3 linked regions of the Macaca fascicularis genome follow. The protein of the gene in region 1 interacts with the protein of each later gene in a biochemical or structural test. Links are inferred from orthologs where the notes say so. Each region holds a gene or a part of one and is shown in the gene's direction. Other genes may lie near its edges.

Region 1 (5,482 bases):
TTGCTTCTTCCCTTTTTGCCTCCTTGGACTCGAGAGGCGACCATAAGTGGTGAAATTTCTCACCAGATAGAACGCCAGGCAGGTGCAGCTCTTGAAGCACCAAGACTGGCTCAAGAGATTGTAAATGGATCTGTCAAGTGCATGCGCCACTGATGTTCAGTCAGGAGAGCTTCCATTTGTTAAAAATATAAAGGACATTCCTATCATCAAGCATCACAATTACGCAAACTCAAAGAAAACAATGTTAGCTCTACTTGGCCTATGTTATACGCTCTAAGAAAGTATTTTAGAAAAATTTTTTTTTCTTTTAACAAAAATTTATTGAAGGATCAAACGTGTTCTCTTTCTTGATGTCTTTAGCTCGTAAAGTCGTTTTGGGAACTTCGTGCATCTGGCAAATAAAATAAAACACCAATGAAATGCTGAGAAATGATTATTTCCCTTAAGTATTTTAGCGGCCTCCAGGCAGACCTGATAAATATTCAGCGAGTGATTAGCTGGTGCATCCCCACCTGCGTCCTTTGCATAGCCATGTCCGCTACTCTTTCACAGGCAGTTTTACTTGGTAATTTACAAATGTACCGGCTGCACTCTGCACCTGACAGTATTGCAGTAATTAGCTTGGGATGCAAAATGATTTCTAAATTAAGGTCCTAGACTTGCAAAATCAAGAAAGCCTGATAATCAACATCGTCCCTCTGATGGCCAGTGAATAACGGGATAAATACCTAAGACAAGTCCTTTAACCATCCCACGTGGTGTTAAATGCCCGACGTACAAATTAAAAGCCTCTACGACACGCAGGTGAAATACGGTATAGGTCAAGAAGAGAAGGTAGGGGAAAGGGTCAATGCTTAATTAGTTAAAAATCGCTGTCTTCCTCCTGTAGGAAGGTCTAGAGCCTGTGTCCTTTAGGGCACACGTGATGAAAGCGACATTTTGGCCAGGTGAAACCTCAAGCTGGTACAGGCTGCTAACACACGGGCGTCGTGCCCCGGAGACATCGGGGGTCCTGAAGATGGGGAAGGGACTCCCTGTTGCGTGTGCTCAGGGGTTAGCGGGTGAGCACCGGGCGGGAGGCTCCGGGGCAGGGGCTGCGCGTGGAGCCCACTCCGGAACGCGGGCTCCTCTCGGCCCGGCACGGACGGCGCAGGACTCCGAGCCCGTCGATAAGACAGAGAGAGAGCGGGAGTGGGAGGAGGAAGACGGGGAGAGGAGGAGGCCGGACGGCAGGAGCGGAAGAAGAGGAGGAGAACTGAGGCGGAGGAGGGCGAGAGGGAGGAGAGCCGGGAGCAGGAAGGGAGGAAAGAAAAAGGCGGCGGAGGAGCGCGCACCCGCCACTCCCGCCCTCCTCCTCCTCCGCATCCCCACTCGGGCTGGCCCTCCCCGGGCCGCCCGCCGCCGCCGCTCCCTGTTCAGTCTTCCCAGCACCGCCAGGCGCCCTCTGCCTCCTCCGCACTCGGCGCGGCCCGCTCGGCGCCGCCGCCGCCCCCCCCGCGCGCTCCCGGCCCGCGCGCCCCCGCCGTTCTCGTCCGCGCGGCCTCGCGCTCGGGGCATGCGCGGTGGGCGGCGCCGCTCCGGGCCGCCTCTGCCGCCGCGAGTAGGAAGCGCGAGCGCCGGGCGCCGGGCTGTCAGTGAGCCTGGGGCCAGCGGGCGAGCCAGCGGCTCAGGCTCCGGCTCCGGCTCCCGCTCTGCGCCGCACCGGCCTGACTCTCCCCGGTCCCCGCCGCGCCCCCTCGCCGCGACCTCGGCCACCGGCCCGCGCCCCCCGCCCGGGGTCGCCCCGAGCCCGCACCTCTCCGCCGCCGCCCCCGCCCACCCGGCCCTCCGCGGCCGCCGCTCCCCGGCGGAGGCAAGAGGTGGTTGGGGGGGACCATGGCTGACGTTTTCCCGGCCAACGACTCCACGGCGTCTCAGGACGTGGCCAACCGCTTCGCCCGCAAAGGGGCGCTGAGGCAGAAGAACGTGCACGAGGTGAAGGACCACAAATTCATCGCGCGCTTCTTCAAGCAGCCCACCTTCTGCAGCCACTGCACCGACTTCATCTGGTAGGTGCCGGGCCGGGCACCCCTGCCCCGCTCCTCCCCGCCCCTGGGTCCCGGTCCCCGGCGCGCCGGCAAGTCCGCCCCGGGGCTGGCTCACTCCGAGAACTTGGAACCGGCGGGAGTCCTAACTCTCGCCCGGAGTGACACGCGCTCCCGGCCCTGACACCGGCGGGCAGGACTCCCGGGACGTCGCCGCCCCGCCACACACACCCCCTGGCGCCGGAGGGAGGCTGGCCCCGTGCGGTGGCGGCGGGGATCTTTCCCCGGGCCGGGCCCCTCACCTCCCCGGGGGCGCCCACCCGCACGCACCCAGCGGAGCGGCCGCTTGCCGGGGTGGGAGCCCAGTGGACAGGGGAGGAGGAGAGGCCCGAAGGAGCGAAGGTTCCCGGAGAAACGCGTCCCGGAGTAACGGGGGAGCGGCGGCGATTCCGCTGCGCGGTCCAAGTTGCTGGCGAGCCAGGCTGGGCGCGTTCGGGGGGGTGTGTTTGTGCTTCCCATCGGGCTGGACCGCGCTGGAATCTTGGGCCCCTGCCTACTGTAGGCTGCATCTACTGGGCACGGACAGACTTTGACTTTTCTGAGTGAGCAGAGAGAGAGAGAACAAACTGTTGAAAGCTTGCAGTGGGGGAGGGAGAGTTCGAGCAGGCAAATGGCACAAGGGCAGAGGGACTCATTTAAAATAGACCCTGTCGGCCAGGCGCGGTGGCTCACGCCTGTGATCCCAGCACTTTGGGAGGCCGAGGCAGGCGGATCACCTGAAGTCAGGTGTTCGAGACCAGCCTGGCCAACATGGTGAAATCCCGTACTACTAAAAGTACAAAATTTGCGGGCGTGGTGGCAGACGCCTGTAATTCCAGCTACTCGGGAGGCTGAGACAGGAGACTCGCTTGAACCCGGGAGGCGGAGGCTGCAGTGAGCCGAGATCGGGCCACTGCACTCCAGCCTGGTCGAGACAGAGCGAGACTCCGTCTCAAAAAAAATTAAAATAGACCCTGTCAACACGAGATTAGACCTGTAACCCTGTTGATGAGGACAGAGGCCTTATTTAAGAAAAATAACATAAGGGCCAGAGGTGTCAGAGTTCAGGTAATCGCCAATGAATTCAGGCATTCTTAACTCGGAGGATCCTTGGGGGCTTATGGAGAATCGATACATAGAAGGGCTTCAGGGGTCTCTGAACCCTGCAAAACTGGGTGAAATTGTGTTTGTGAATCTTTTTGCTGGTGAGAGAATTACAGCTTTCATCTGATTCTCAAAAGTGTGTGACCCTTCTTCCCAGCTCCCCGTCACCACACAGAAGTTTAGAAAGCTGGAACTAAAGGAGCTCTAGGTCCTCTAGTTAGAGCAGCAGTAGTTTGGTTTTTCTCTTAGATTGCCGGATGCCCTGACTCTTCTACCTCTTCTTTGTCGTGTAGCAATTTCCTGACAAGACAGAGCTATGGCTAGGGCTTCTTAGCTCCCTCCCCTTCTAGGCCAGGGGGAGCTACCCAGGGTGGCAGTCATGGAGTGAATCCTGCCACCAGCCAGCTGTGTGGCACAGGTATCTTGGGCCATTAGAGTGAACATAATATGGATGGATCTGTCTGAATCCATCACACCTGGGGAAAAACATCCCAAAGGTCAGGTCCCATGATCGTGGTGCTAATAAGGTGTTTAATTTTTCCTTTCCTTTTTAGACATCTGCTCCCAAGTACACTTTTACGAAAAGCACAGCCACCTCTATGAGTGATTTCCACTGTCTAGTCAGCATATGAAGCGATTGTGCTCAAAGGAGTAGGTAATCGTAGATAAGGCTATTTAAAATACAATTTCGGAGCATCAGGGCAAAGAGAATATTGCATTTGGTTAAGAGGAGGTGGTCAACTGTGAGAGTCCATTAAAAGGGAACAGACTGCTGGTGACTTTTGCAGGAAGTGGGAGAGTTAGAAAGGGACTTGCAGCCGACCGAGGCTAGCTAGTGTCTTTCCACTGTCAGTTGCCCTTGAAGGATCAGCCCTTGGTGAGCTGAAGAGGCGCTCAGGTCACTAGCAGTGTTGTGAAGTGGAAGATAAAGGCCCCCCTGAGTATCCCTGCAGCTCTCTGCATTTAATTGTAAACCAACCAATTGGAAGTCCCAGGAAACCATCTACAGGGATTGTCTTTTTCAGTTTGCTTTCATTATTGTTTCTACGGGGTCCTTGATTTGCAAGTTTATTTCAATATTAAATCACTGATATTTTTAAGTGAAATGTTTAGAGTTCATTATGGTTTTTGGTGAGGGGGGATGACTCTTAAGTTAATTTTAAAAGTATGTGAAATACTTTGTGCATTAAACATTCTATGTGAAGCAAGAGGTTATGACGCTCAGCCTTCTGAAGAAATGTTAATGCAGTTAATCCTAGTAGAACAATACCTGCAATTGAATGTCCATGTCAGGGTTCTCTGCTTACAGAGTAAATTCTCTAAAGTCATTTACAAGAACAAAATACCCTCCGTATGTGCTTTGACTGCTGTCGGTTCTCAGTAGAAATTAGATCATGGTAATCTCAAATGCAAACAATAGGAATGATATTTTCTAGCATCTGGTTCCTTAAGCCAAAATTAAATGTTAAAAGTGATGCCGTTTGGCAATTTCTAGACACATAATACTTTAAACAAATGCATAATAAGTAAGCCCACTTTGTTGCCTTTAGGGAGGAAAAAAAAAACAATTTTCATTTGGTCTTCGGGAACAAAATTAAGTAACTTCCTTTTAAAATTTTAACCATAAACTCTTTTGTTACTTGAATATTGTATTGTAGCCAACAAGTTTGAATACACAGTCATGTTCTTGTCTTGAAATTTAAGTATCGATAACATAGTATAAAAAATTGAAAAGAAGCTTGATATATTGGAATAGTTCAGTGATCCTTTATAGGCAAGATTTTTTTTCCCCTCAAAGTTGAATTTACACAGTAATCTGACTAGATATTTAGGTATGTTTTTTCTATTAAGTCATTGGGTTTCACGTACAAACCTTTAGTAGTGGAGTACTTGGTCACATAACTTGTTTGAAATATGCTATCCAACGCAAAATATGTTAAGAGATTTTGTTTTTGTTTTTGTTTTTCAGGGGGTTTGGGAAACAGGGCTTCCAGTGCCAAGGTAAGCTGCCACTTTTGATTTTATTTTCAAGCACAACATGAAATAAGCATTCCAAACAAGAACAGTATTTCCAGTCATCTTTTCTTTCCAATAAGAAAAAGGTTATTCAGATAATGTTTTTGAAATATGAGGGCTGTAAATTTGGGCCTTAAATAATTTGAGCCTACTAATCTGCATATAGAGCTGCCTTTTTCTCATTGGGAAAAAAAAAAAAGCCTTCCTGTAATTTTATTTTTTGCCGAGAACATTCTTGTCAGAAACTGCTGTCTTTGTGTGGGTGTTGAGAAAAAAATGGAATCACTTTGTATTCAAGT
Region 2 (4,627 bases), on another chromosome or scaffold:
CTCAATTTGCATTGTTTGGTAAGAGGCCTGTACAAAATCTGTGTCTCTGTGGATAAATTTATAACACAGCAAAAGGGCTAGATAATAAATAGTTTGGAGTTTAAAGGCCATATATAGTCTCTGTCACACATTCTTTTTAGTTTTTAGTTTGTTTGCTTGTTCGAGACAGCATCTTGCTCCATTGCCCAGGCTGGAGTGCAGTGGTGCTATCACTGCTCACTGCAGCCTTGACACCCTGAATTCAAGTGATCCTCCCACCTCAGTCTCCCAAGTAGCTGAGACTACAGGCATGCACCACCACACCCAGCAATATTTTTTGTATTTTTAGTAGAGATAAGGTTTCACTACGTTGCCCAGGCTGGTCTTGAACTCCTGAAATCAAGCAACCCTCCTATCCCGGTCTTCCCCAGTGCTGAGATTACAGACATGAACCACCGTGCCCAGCCTTTGTTTTTGTTTTTGTTTTAAACAATACTGTTAAAATGTAAAGACACTTCTTAGCTTGAGGGCCATACAGAAACAAGCCATTGTCCAGATTTGGCCATAGTCTGCCAACCTCTCCAGGAGTTCTTAGAGAGAAGATGAAATGTGTTGGCTACTTTAAATTTTCTTGCACAGCATTTCAAGGGTGAGAAATAAGTGACTGTTGATTTCATTAGGAATCCAAATCATTATTTGATCATTTTTATCATCCAGGCATCCTGTCCAATCCCCTCCACATCCTATAAATCGTAAACTTCACCATTTATTTCAACCTCAATGTATTTGCCTGTGTTTTCCTGAGTTCCTCTGAACTTCTATAACCTGAAGTCGCTCAATATCCCATCCAATCTTTTCAGTCAATAGCCAGATATTCTTCTAAAATACTAGCATTTAAACACACAAAAATACCCATATTGATGTATCCTGGCTGCTTATAGAAGAGAGTACTCCTGATGGTGCAGCTTGTTAAATGTGGGTGGAGACTCAGGGGGAGCAGTGAGAACATTTTGAAAACCTAACAGAATCCTGGGTCCCCTAAACAGTTTGTGTATTTGAGGATGACAGGGCGCTCTTGAATAATTTTCCGCAGGTTTGAATTTTCTCTAAACTGAATTATCTGTTATTTTTCTTCCACTTTTTAATGGATTTGCCCAGGAACTAAAAAGGGAAAACACTTCAATTAGAAAACATAACACATTTAAGTTTGAATTTGAATCTGGGTAGTTGGATTCTTAAGTCAAAGCGACTTGAATTACTGGTGCTGCAATGCAGAAGAAGTCACTCTGACCGTGGAACTTTTCCAAGCTGAAAAATCCCATTCTGTAAAGACATCAGCACATGGAAACTCCTAGGACACAGAACCAGTTTGTAAAGTCAAGTCTGTGTGGTTAAGTTGGGGCTGTAGGCAACCAGCTGTCCCGTGCCTGTGTTACTTGCTACAGTTAGAAACAAAGTTCATGCCCAAACCAAGGAACCCAGTGTCTTTTCTCTTGCAAAAATCAAAGCGTGAACTCATGGGCGAATTTTAAAAAATAACTTTCACCGGATACTTAATAGAAATTTATCGCGACACGCTACTAACTAACATGATGCCCTCAGCCCATTGGATTCTTGTGAAAAGCAGAAGGGATTTTTAAAAATATCTTTCATCAATTGCACGAGATTCGTGAAAACACAAACAAGTATGTGAACCTGGAGGCTGTTTTCCTCCTTTGGAGCTTCAAAGTGCCAAATTCTGTACCGTTGTTTTAAGCATTTAATCAAATTTTGAGGACTAACAAACACAATTTGGGAGTCCAACAGCGAGCGGCGGCGGCCAGAGGGCGGTGGATTGGACGCTCCACCAATCACAGGGCAGCGCCGGCTTATATAAGCCCGGGGCCCGAGCATAGCAGCAATGCAAAACTTGCTCTTTGGATTTTGAGCTTATTCTCTTCTAGCAGTTTCTTGCCACCATGTCGGAAACCGCTCCTGCCGAAACAGCCACCCCAGCGCCTGTGGAGAAATCCCCCGCTAAGAAGAAGGCAACTAAGAAGGCGGCCGGCGCTGGCGCGGCTAAGCGCAAAGCGACTGGGCCCCCAGTCTCAGAGCTGATCACCAAGGCTGTGGCAGCTTCTAAGGAGCGCAATGGCCTTTCTTTGGCAGCTCTTAAGAAGGCCTTAGCGGCCGGTGGCTACGACGTGGAGAAGAATAACAGCCGCATCAAGCTGGGCCTCAAGAGCTTGGTGAGCAAGGGCACCCTGGTGCAGACCAAGGGCACTGGTGCTTCTGGCTCCTTTAAACTCAACAAAAAGGCGGCCTCCGGGGAAGCTAAGCCCAAAGCCAAGAAGGCAGGCGCCGCTAAAGCTAAGAAACCCGCGGGGGCCACGCCTAAGAAGCCCAAGAAGGCTGCAGGGGCGAAAAAGGCAGTGAAGAAGACTCCGAAGAAGGCGAAGAAACCCGCGGCGGCTGGCGTCAAAAAAGTGGCGAAGAGCCCTAAGAAGGCCAAGGCCGCGGCCAAACCGAAAAAGGCAACCAAGAGTCCTGCCAAGCCCAAGGCAGTTAAGCCGAAAGCGGCAAAGCCCAAAGCCGCTAAGCCCAAAGCAGCAAAACCTAAAGCTGCAAAGGCCAAGAAGGCGGCTGCCAAAAAGAAGTAGGAAGCTGGCGTGTGAAAACCGCAACAAAGCCCCAAAGGCTCTTTTCAGAGCCACCCAGAGATCTCTAAAAAATTGCTGTGCACAATGTGTTAGATCAGGCAGGCAGTTTTCGAAGTTGGTGTCAAACTTTGTCTGACGCCTAGCTACAAAGAAGCTTCTTAAATTTTAAAAGCCCCGCTCTATAATCTGATTGGTCAGTTTTGTTCCATCATCAGTACGTGGTTTCTCCGCGTTTAAGCCACTTAGGCGCCAGCTACTTCGGCGTTACTGTGTTCGGCATTGATATAGCCAATTTGATATGACTATCATTCTGTACTGGATTCCTTTTTTTCTTTACCCGAGTCAGAGTCTCGCTCTGTCACTCAGGCTGGCGTGCAGTGGCGCGGGCTCGGATCACTGCAGCCTCAGCCTCCCCCACTCAAACGATTGTCTCACTTCAGCCTCTGAAGTGCTAGGACTAAAGGTATGCACCATGCCGCCCGGCTAATTTTTGTATCGGCTATGATGCCTAGGCAGATCTCGAATTCATGAGCTTCAGCGATCTTCCCGCCTCAGCTTCCAAAAGTGCTGGGATTACAGGCGTGAGCCACTGCGCCTGGCCCTGGATTTTTTTCTTATTGGCTCTAGTACATATAACACGCGATGAATAAACACAGCGAACACTCTTGTAAGCCCTGTATTAAATGACTTGTTCACATTCTGACTTAAACAAGTCACCTGAATCCTGTAAGGTTTTCCCTAAAGTCATTACTAAGCTTTAGATGAAAAATGCTTTTCTTTTCACAATAAACGTTCCGAATGTTTAACCAGTGGCCCAGCTCTCCCGCAGAAATAGTAAGTGGCTCTGAAAAGAGCCGTTGTATTGTAAAGTGACGCTATGGAGACATTATTTGCTCTTGGCCTTGTGATGACTCTCGGTCTTCTTGGGCAGTAGCACGGCCTGAATGTTGGGCAGGACACCACCCTGAGCGATGGTCACTTTGCCCAGCAGCTTGTTGAGCTCCTCGTCGTTACGGATGGCCAGCTGCAGGTGACGCGGGATAATACGGGTCTTCTTGTTGTCGCGGGCGGCGTTGCCCGCCAGCTCCAGGATCTCGGCGGTCAGGTACTCCAGCACCGCCGCAAGATACACCGGGGCGCCGGCCCCGACACGCTCAGCATAGTTGCCCTTGCGGAGCAGCCGGTGCACTCTGCCCACGGGAAACTGGAGACCAGCCCGAGAAGAGCGGGTCTTCGCCTTGGCGCGAGCTTTTCCTCCCTGCTTGCCGCGTCCAGACATGACGAAGAAACGATCGGTAGACAAACTGAGAAGAAATTAGAGAACTTTGCCAGAACTCCACTACTTATAGTCAATACTGGGCGCGAAAATAAAGCTGTGCCATTGGCTCAAATTGCAGTTTTATTTAAACCAATGGAATCGCTGTTATGAAACACGTTTCTTTGGATTGGACAAAAATGCATATGACGTCATCTAGAATCGCCACCAGTCCTACACACTAATGTATTAATCACCTCATTTGCATAAGAATTCGTGAATAGGACGTTACAACGCACAGGTTTTTCTTCTTTTTTTTAAAGACATGGTGTCCCTCTGCCGCCCAGGCTGGAGTGCAGTGGTGCCATCTCGGCTCACTGCAACTTCCGCTCCTGGGTTCAAGTGATTCTCCTGCCTCGGCCTCCTGAGTAACTGAGATTACAAGCGCCAGCCACCACAGCCCGGCTAATTTTTGTAATTTTTAGTAGAGACGGGGTTTCACCATATTGGTCATGCTGCTCTCGAACCCCTGATCTTAGGCGATCCGCCTGCCTTGGCCTCCCAAAGTGCTGGGATTACAGGCGTGAGCCACCGCGCCCGGCCACTTTTTTTTTTTTTTTCCTTGAGACAGGGTCTGGCTTTGCCCCCAGGTTGGAACGCAGCGGCGCGATCGTGGCTCACCGCAACCTCTTTCCTGGCTGAAGCGATCCTCCTCCCTGAGCCTCCCCAGTAACTGGGATTACAGGCGTGCATC
Region 3 (5,648 bases), on another chromosome or scaffold:
ATACTGGTCGGCACTCTGATTCCATTTCGGCATTGTTTTTCCTTTGGTTCTATTGGGATCCTGGTTCTAACTGGGTCCTGGTAGTAACAGGCTGTAAGCGGCCGGGTGTATAGCATCATTTCTCAGTAGTATGGTGTGGTGCTGGTGGTTTATTTTCCCTATGCACACATGGCCTAATATGGAAGGATAGTTTGTATACATGCACAGTACATGATCATAAGACTCCTTTACAGAGTATGAAACTGAGGATTAGAGAAGTCAGATGAGTTTCCCAAAGTCTTACAGAAGGCTGATAGAAAAAACCAGAGCCAAGGCCAAACATGTTTCATCTCTCCTTCCACATTAGTTGAAATGTGAATAGCTGCTTGGAACACAGTATTAAGAAGGATTCCGAGGCTGTGTCCAGGCTCAGTGGGGAAAAAGTGCCCTGATTTGACCATTATACTGTGTACTCAGGGCCTAGTTTATTTTCCACAACCAGCCATTTAAAACATGTCTCATCCAAGGCACGGTCCAGGGTGAGGAACCTCAGAGGATCAATGATGCAGCCTGTATTGTCACCGGGGCTCATCCCAAAGCAAATCCTGCTGAAGTTCTCCTCTGAACAACCCTTATCACTCATGCTAACATGTTGGATCCTGCAAGTCACAAATACGAAGGTATGAGCATTGGCCAAATCCCAGCTGGGAAGCTACACTGGGAAGGCGAAGACCCCTTTCCATTAAGATAACAGAACCTAGAAGGCCCATAGCATGGTGCCTTAGAGCATGTGGGCATCGGATGGGATCCTTGAAACTGCCAAGGGGTGTGTGACCTCTCCGAAGCCTCCAGGGATGATACTACTCCCTGGGGTGGTTATGCCAACCATGTTAGAGACAATGGTTTCCGTACCCATTGCCTGGGGCTGCCATAATAAAGTGCCACACACTGAGTGGCTTTAAACAACAGAAACCTATTGTCTCACACTTCCGGGGGCCAGAAGTTTGAAACCAAGGTGTGTTAGGACCCTGCTCCCTCCGAAGGCTCCAGGGAAGAGTCTATCCTCTTCGGCTTCTGGCGGCTTGCAGGTGCAGCCCTCCACTCCTCCTCCCCACGCGGCCTTCTGCCTATAAGGACACGAGTCCTACTGGATGAGGGGCCCACTAATTGATGGCTTCATTTTAACTTGTTACCTCTGTAAAGTCCCCATATCCAAGTATGGTCACACTGTGAGGTACTGGGAGTTAGGACTCCAACATAGCTTTTCTGGTGGACACAATTCAGCTCCTAATAATGTCCACACAACCCCAAGCAGGGCCTGGCACCCTGTGCGCTTTCTGCAGAGCGACTGAGTCAGGCCCTGGCCGTGTCTAGGCCATCGGTGACTGCAGCGCCTGGACGGGACCGCCCACCACAGGCCCTGGAGGCTGCCCCACGGCCCCCTGACAGGGTCTCTGCTGGTCTGAGGGTCCCTGACCCGGGAAGCGGCCTCAGGAGGGGAGAGACTCGCGCTCCGGGCTCAGTGTAGCCGCCCCGAGCAGGACTGGGATTCTCACTAAGCGGGCGCCGTCCTACGACCCCCGCGCGCCTTCAGGACCACTCGGGCACGTGGCAGGTCGCTTGCACGCCCGCGGACTATCCCTGTGACAGGAAAAGGTATGGGCTATTTGGCAAACTAAGGCACAGAACCTGAGGCGGAAGCTGGGAAGGCGCTGCCTGGTTTGTACCGGCCAAAGGGCCGGGGTGTCAGGCGCACAGAGTAGCTAGCGCTGCTGCAGGACCCGGGCCCGCGCGTCGGCATCCAGCGAGGCTGCGCAGAGTGGCTCAGGTCCGGCGCCGCCGCACTGGGCATGCGCCGACCCGGTCGGGCGGGAACACCCCGCCCCGCCCCGGCCCCCGCCCCCGCGCGCCCCGGCCCCGCCCCCGCGCGCTCTCTTGCTTTTCTCAGGTCCTCGGCTCCGCCCCGCTCTAGATCCCGCCCCATGCCGCCAGCCCCGCGCCCCCTCGGCCCCGCCCCCGCGCCCCGGATATGCTGGGACGGCCCGCGCCACTAGAACGCTTTGCGTGCCGGCGCCCGCAGGTCCTCGCGGTCCGCACCGTTTGCGACTTGGTGAGTGTCTGGGTCGCCTCGCTCCCGGCAGAGTTGCGGGGCTCTGCCTCGGGACGGCGGCAGTCTCGAGTGGTCCTGCAGGCGCCCTCACTCGGGTCTGGGGCCGCCCTGACAGCCACCTACCCCGGGCGAACTCCAGGTGCGCCCCAAGTGCCTCCAAAGTGTTGCCCAGCCTTCCCCCGGGCCTAGGGTTTCTGGACCAAGCTGCGCTGCAGTGACTGTGGCCTGGCGTGTGGCGGGGTTCGTGGCAGCCCCTGCCTTACCTCCGGGTGCCGGCTCCAGGCCCGGGCCCCGGGTTCTTCCTGCCCCTCCATGCTGCCAGCTTTCCCTCCGCCAGCTGCTCCGGGAAGCTTCCAGAAGCCCCTGCGCGGGCCTTGGCTTGCAGCAAGCCTTTAGCATACTTGGGCAGAGTCCCATATTTCCTTCCTGCTGGAGGCCAAGTTCTAGGGGCCTCCTCCTAACCATGGCTGGTGTTTGTGTACCTCACACCCTAATTGTATTCATCAATACCTGGGAGTAAGCAAGGCTCGCTGGAGAGCCACACACACTGGGCGCCGTAATTCCCACATTGGTGACAACACCGCAGAGGAGTTCTGAACTATGTATTTCGCACTCCTGGGTTCATCATCTCCTGAAATCTCAGGGTGGTGTTTGCTCTCAGTTGCCTCAGCTGGGTAGCTGGCTTTCTGTCCTGGAAAGCAGACTTTGTACATGTGTGTGCAACCTTTGCCTGCTGGGACCATCATCAGACTGAGGGAAGCGGCTTGGTCCGGAGAGGGGTCACCACAGCTGTTCTCAGTAGAATATTAAGCAGAGAGAGTTAAGCACAGAGAGCTGAGAATTAGACTGGTTATTTACATAGACATCCAAATATAAACCTATAGAGTATCTGTGAAGGCAGACTCTCCCGTCATCTGCCCCATCCCTGGGCAGGTGACTAGGAGATGGTTTTGTTATTTTCAGGGCCCACTCAGTGGCTAAAACACTCTGAGAGATGAACAGATTTTAAAAAAACGAAAGCTTAGCACACTTGGTGGGTGGGGCTGTGAAAACTTTGAAGGAAACCGCGTCAAGAGCCTGGCTGATTGTTAACAACACATTAACTCAGAGGGCCAGGATACTTGCTGGTACCCAGAGTGTGCCTGCAAGTAGCAGAGGAGAGCTGGCCTTACTCTGCCGCCTGTCGTATCTGTCTTCCTGGGCCCTCCCTCTCCTGTTAGAATTTGAATAGTGGGGTGGTATCTGCCACAGTCAGGGGCCTGGATGAAGTAGGCCTCCAGTACAGAGCTATACTCAGGTACTTTTCAATGTATATATTTTAATAATAATAAAAAATATCTGGGCCAGGCACGGTGGCTCACGCCTGTAATCCCAGCACTTTGGGAGGCTGTGGTGGGTGGATCACCCGAGGTCGGAAGTTGGAGACCAGCCTGACCAACATGGTGAAACCCCGTTTCTACTAAAAATACAAAAATTATCCAGGTGTGGTGGTGCGTGCCTGTAATCCCAGCTACTTGGGAGGCTGAGGCAGGAGAATTTCTTGAACCTGGGAGGTGGAGGTTGCAGTGAGCTGAGATTGCGCCATTGCACTCCAGCCTGGGCAACGAGAGTGAAACTCTGTCCCAAAGGAAAAAAAAATCTGTATCACAATAACGATTTAACTAATAGTATTAGGCACTACTTTAAAAAGGCTTTGCTGTTAGTAAGGTTGAAAGAAATAGAGCCCTAGGTAACATTGGGTAGCACTTTGTTCAGCTGCTCAGATTCTTGAAACTTGTTGAGGTCTTACGTTGATAACACCTGGGGCTTACCTTTCATTGTTTGGGTTTCCTTCCCAGGTGTCTCAATCAGGGCCTCCTCTCTTCTTTTGCAGGGAAGAAGGGGGCAGGAAGGCCTGAAAAAGAACTTGCCTTCCCCATTGCCCCCTTAGAGTTTGTTCCTCTCCAGTCTTCTTCCTACCCTTTCTTAGGACACCAAAGCCCTGACTCTTCTGGTATTTTATAATAAAATAAACTTACTAAATTGTCCTGTTTTGCAGAGGACATACGTTTAGGAGCCAGTGACTCAAACCTTCCGGTTGGTTTTTTTTTTTTTTTTTGGTGTTAATACCCTTTTCAATTTATAGTATATTCTTTTTGATAGAAAGAAAATGAAGGCAAAACTGAATTTTCTGCATTATCTTTTCCTTTAGCATTATTCTTTGTTTTTGCGCTTCATTCTGACCCCCTTCCCCAGCATAAAGTTCCTTGTTCAGATCCACTTGCCGTGAGGTTTTTGACTTCCCTTTGGGACTCTAGTTCCTCCAGGGGACACATTGAACCTCCCAGACCCTGAAGGGCCCTGTACTCATTTGGCTCTTGGGCTGCTGCTACAGTCCTTCCTGACTCTCTGTTTCCTGGGACAGGTAGCTTTTGATCCAGCTACTTTCTGGGCTCGGGTCTTACCACAGAATATTATTTTATTACTTTTAGAGACAAGGGCTTGCTCTGTCGCCCAGGCTGGAGTGCATAGCTCACTGCAGCCTCAAACTCCTGGGCTCAAGTGAACCTCCTGCTTTGACCTCCTGAGTAGCGGGGACTACAGGTGTGTGCCACCATGCCTGGCTAATATTTTTTTTTAAAGGCAGGGTCTCCCTATATTGCCTAGGGTGGTCTCGAACTCCTGGACTCAAGTGATCTTCCCTCCTAGACCTCCCAAAGTGCTGGGATTACAGGCATGAGCCACCGTGTCTGGCCCTGCAGGATATTATTTAAACCAGACCTGAAGGATTTAAAGTCAGAGACACATAAACCATAACCTGACCGTGGGGTGGTATGGTCTTTATATAGACACTCATGATGTACAAGCCAGCCCTACGCCCCACTCTTGGTTTGAAGTGAAAGGGTTTATCTGGGAGGGAGGAGGTTTGAGCTGTCCAGGAGGGCCGTTGGTTGGCATGAGGAGTTTGTGAACCTATGCTGTTAGCTCTGCAGGCCTGTCTTGGGCAGAGCTAAGTAGAAGTTGGAGACCTTGTGTTGTGGACCAAATGTTGCAAGATGTATGTTCTGTGGCTTTTCATTAACTGCTGCATGTCTGCTGGTTGGTGGAAATAGTCTGTTTTTTTTTTTTGACTTAAAAAAATTGACAGTACAGCTTATATAGGAGGGCTGCGTGGTTTGGGGAAAACTAATTAATGAATATAGTATGGAATGTAATGAATGAGTTCCTCCTTCATAGAGCTATTAAAGTGATTTACGAAAAGGAAGAAATCATTTTTTTGATTTTGTTGATCTTTGAAGTATTAGAGTGGCTTTGGCTGGTGTGGTTCACCTGTAAAGGGATCAAACACTGAGACCTGCCAAGGTGCTGGGTCCCGGCAGCGAAGCCAGTGGGCGGCAGCCTGCACGCCCGAAGCTCCTCCAGCTAAATAACTGAATAGGCCGCCCTGGGGGCTGCCCATGCAGATGCACTGAAGGGTGAAACTTGGTTTTGACCCCACAAGTTGTTTTCAGTTGAATCAGTGGCTTAACAGCAGAGCCGGGTTCTCCAAGGAGGCCTCATGTCCCCTTCACCCCCCACC

What was found. The genes of interacting proteins can lie anywhere in the genome.
Region 2: of the proteins of PRKCA (region 1) and H1-5, one has a biochemical effect on the other in vitro, tested with the Homo sapiens proteins (2 studies listed by BioGRID). The link is inferred for Macaca fascicularis from reciprocal best matches to the Homo sapiens genes PRKCA and H1-5.
Region 3: of the proteins of PRKCA (region 1) and MGMT, one has a biochemical effect on the other in vitro, tested with the Homo sapiens proteins (2 studies listed by BioGRID). The link is inferred for Macaca fascicularis from reciprocal best matches to the Homo sapiens genes PRKCA and MGMT.

Annotation. Positions count from the first base shown.
Region 1 is NC_088390.1:72,727,242-72,732,723, forward strand, and holds the start of PRKCA (protein kinase C alpha type), read left to right. Parts: upstream 1-1,633; 5' UTR 1,634-1,875; coding exon 1,876-2,048; intron 2,049-3,720; exon of another isoform or gene 3,721-3,795; coding exon of another isoform or gene 3,796-3,818; intron 3,819-5,136; coding exon 5,137-5,168; intron 5,169-5,482. UniProt on the Homo sapiens protein: Calcium-activated, phospholipid- and diacylglycerol (DAG)-dependent serine/threonine-protein kinase that is involved in positive and negative regulation of cell proliferation, apoptosis, differentiation, migration and adhesion, tumorigenesis, cardiac hypertrophy, angiogenesis, platelet function and inflammation, by directly phosphorylating targets such as RAF1, BCL2, CSPG4, TNNT2/CTNT, or activating signaling cascade involving MAPK1/3 (ERK1/2) and RAP1GAP.
Region 2 is NC_088378.1:145,270,330-145,274,956, forward strand, and holds H1-5 (histone H1.5), read left to right. Parts: upstream 1-1,878; 5' UTR 1,879-1,937; coding exon 1,938-2,618; 3' UTR 2,619-3,283; downstream 3,284-4,627. Other genes in the region: histone H2A type 1-H-like, read right to left, coding at 3,505-3,897. UniProt on the Homo sapiens protein: Histone H1 protein binds to linker DNA between nucleosomes forming the macromolecular structure known as the chromatin fiber. Histones H1 are necessary for the condensation of nucleosome chains into higher-order structured fibers.
Region 3 is NC_088383.1:138,442,580-138,448,227, forward strand, and holds the start of MGMT (methylated-DNA--protein-cysteine methyltransferase), read left to right. Parts: upstream 1-2,004; 5' UTR 2,005-2,008; coding exon of another isoform or gene 2,009-2,089; exon of another isoform or gene 2,090-2,228; intron 2,229-5,648. UniProt on the Homo sapiens protein: Involved in the cellular defense against the biological effects of O6-methylguanine (O6-MeG) and O4-methylthymine (O4-MeT) in DNA. Repairs the methylated nucleobase in DNA by stoichiometrically transferring the methyl group to a cysteine residue in the enzyme.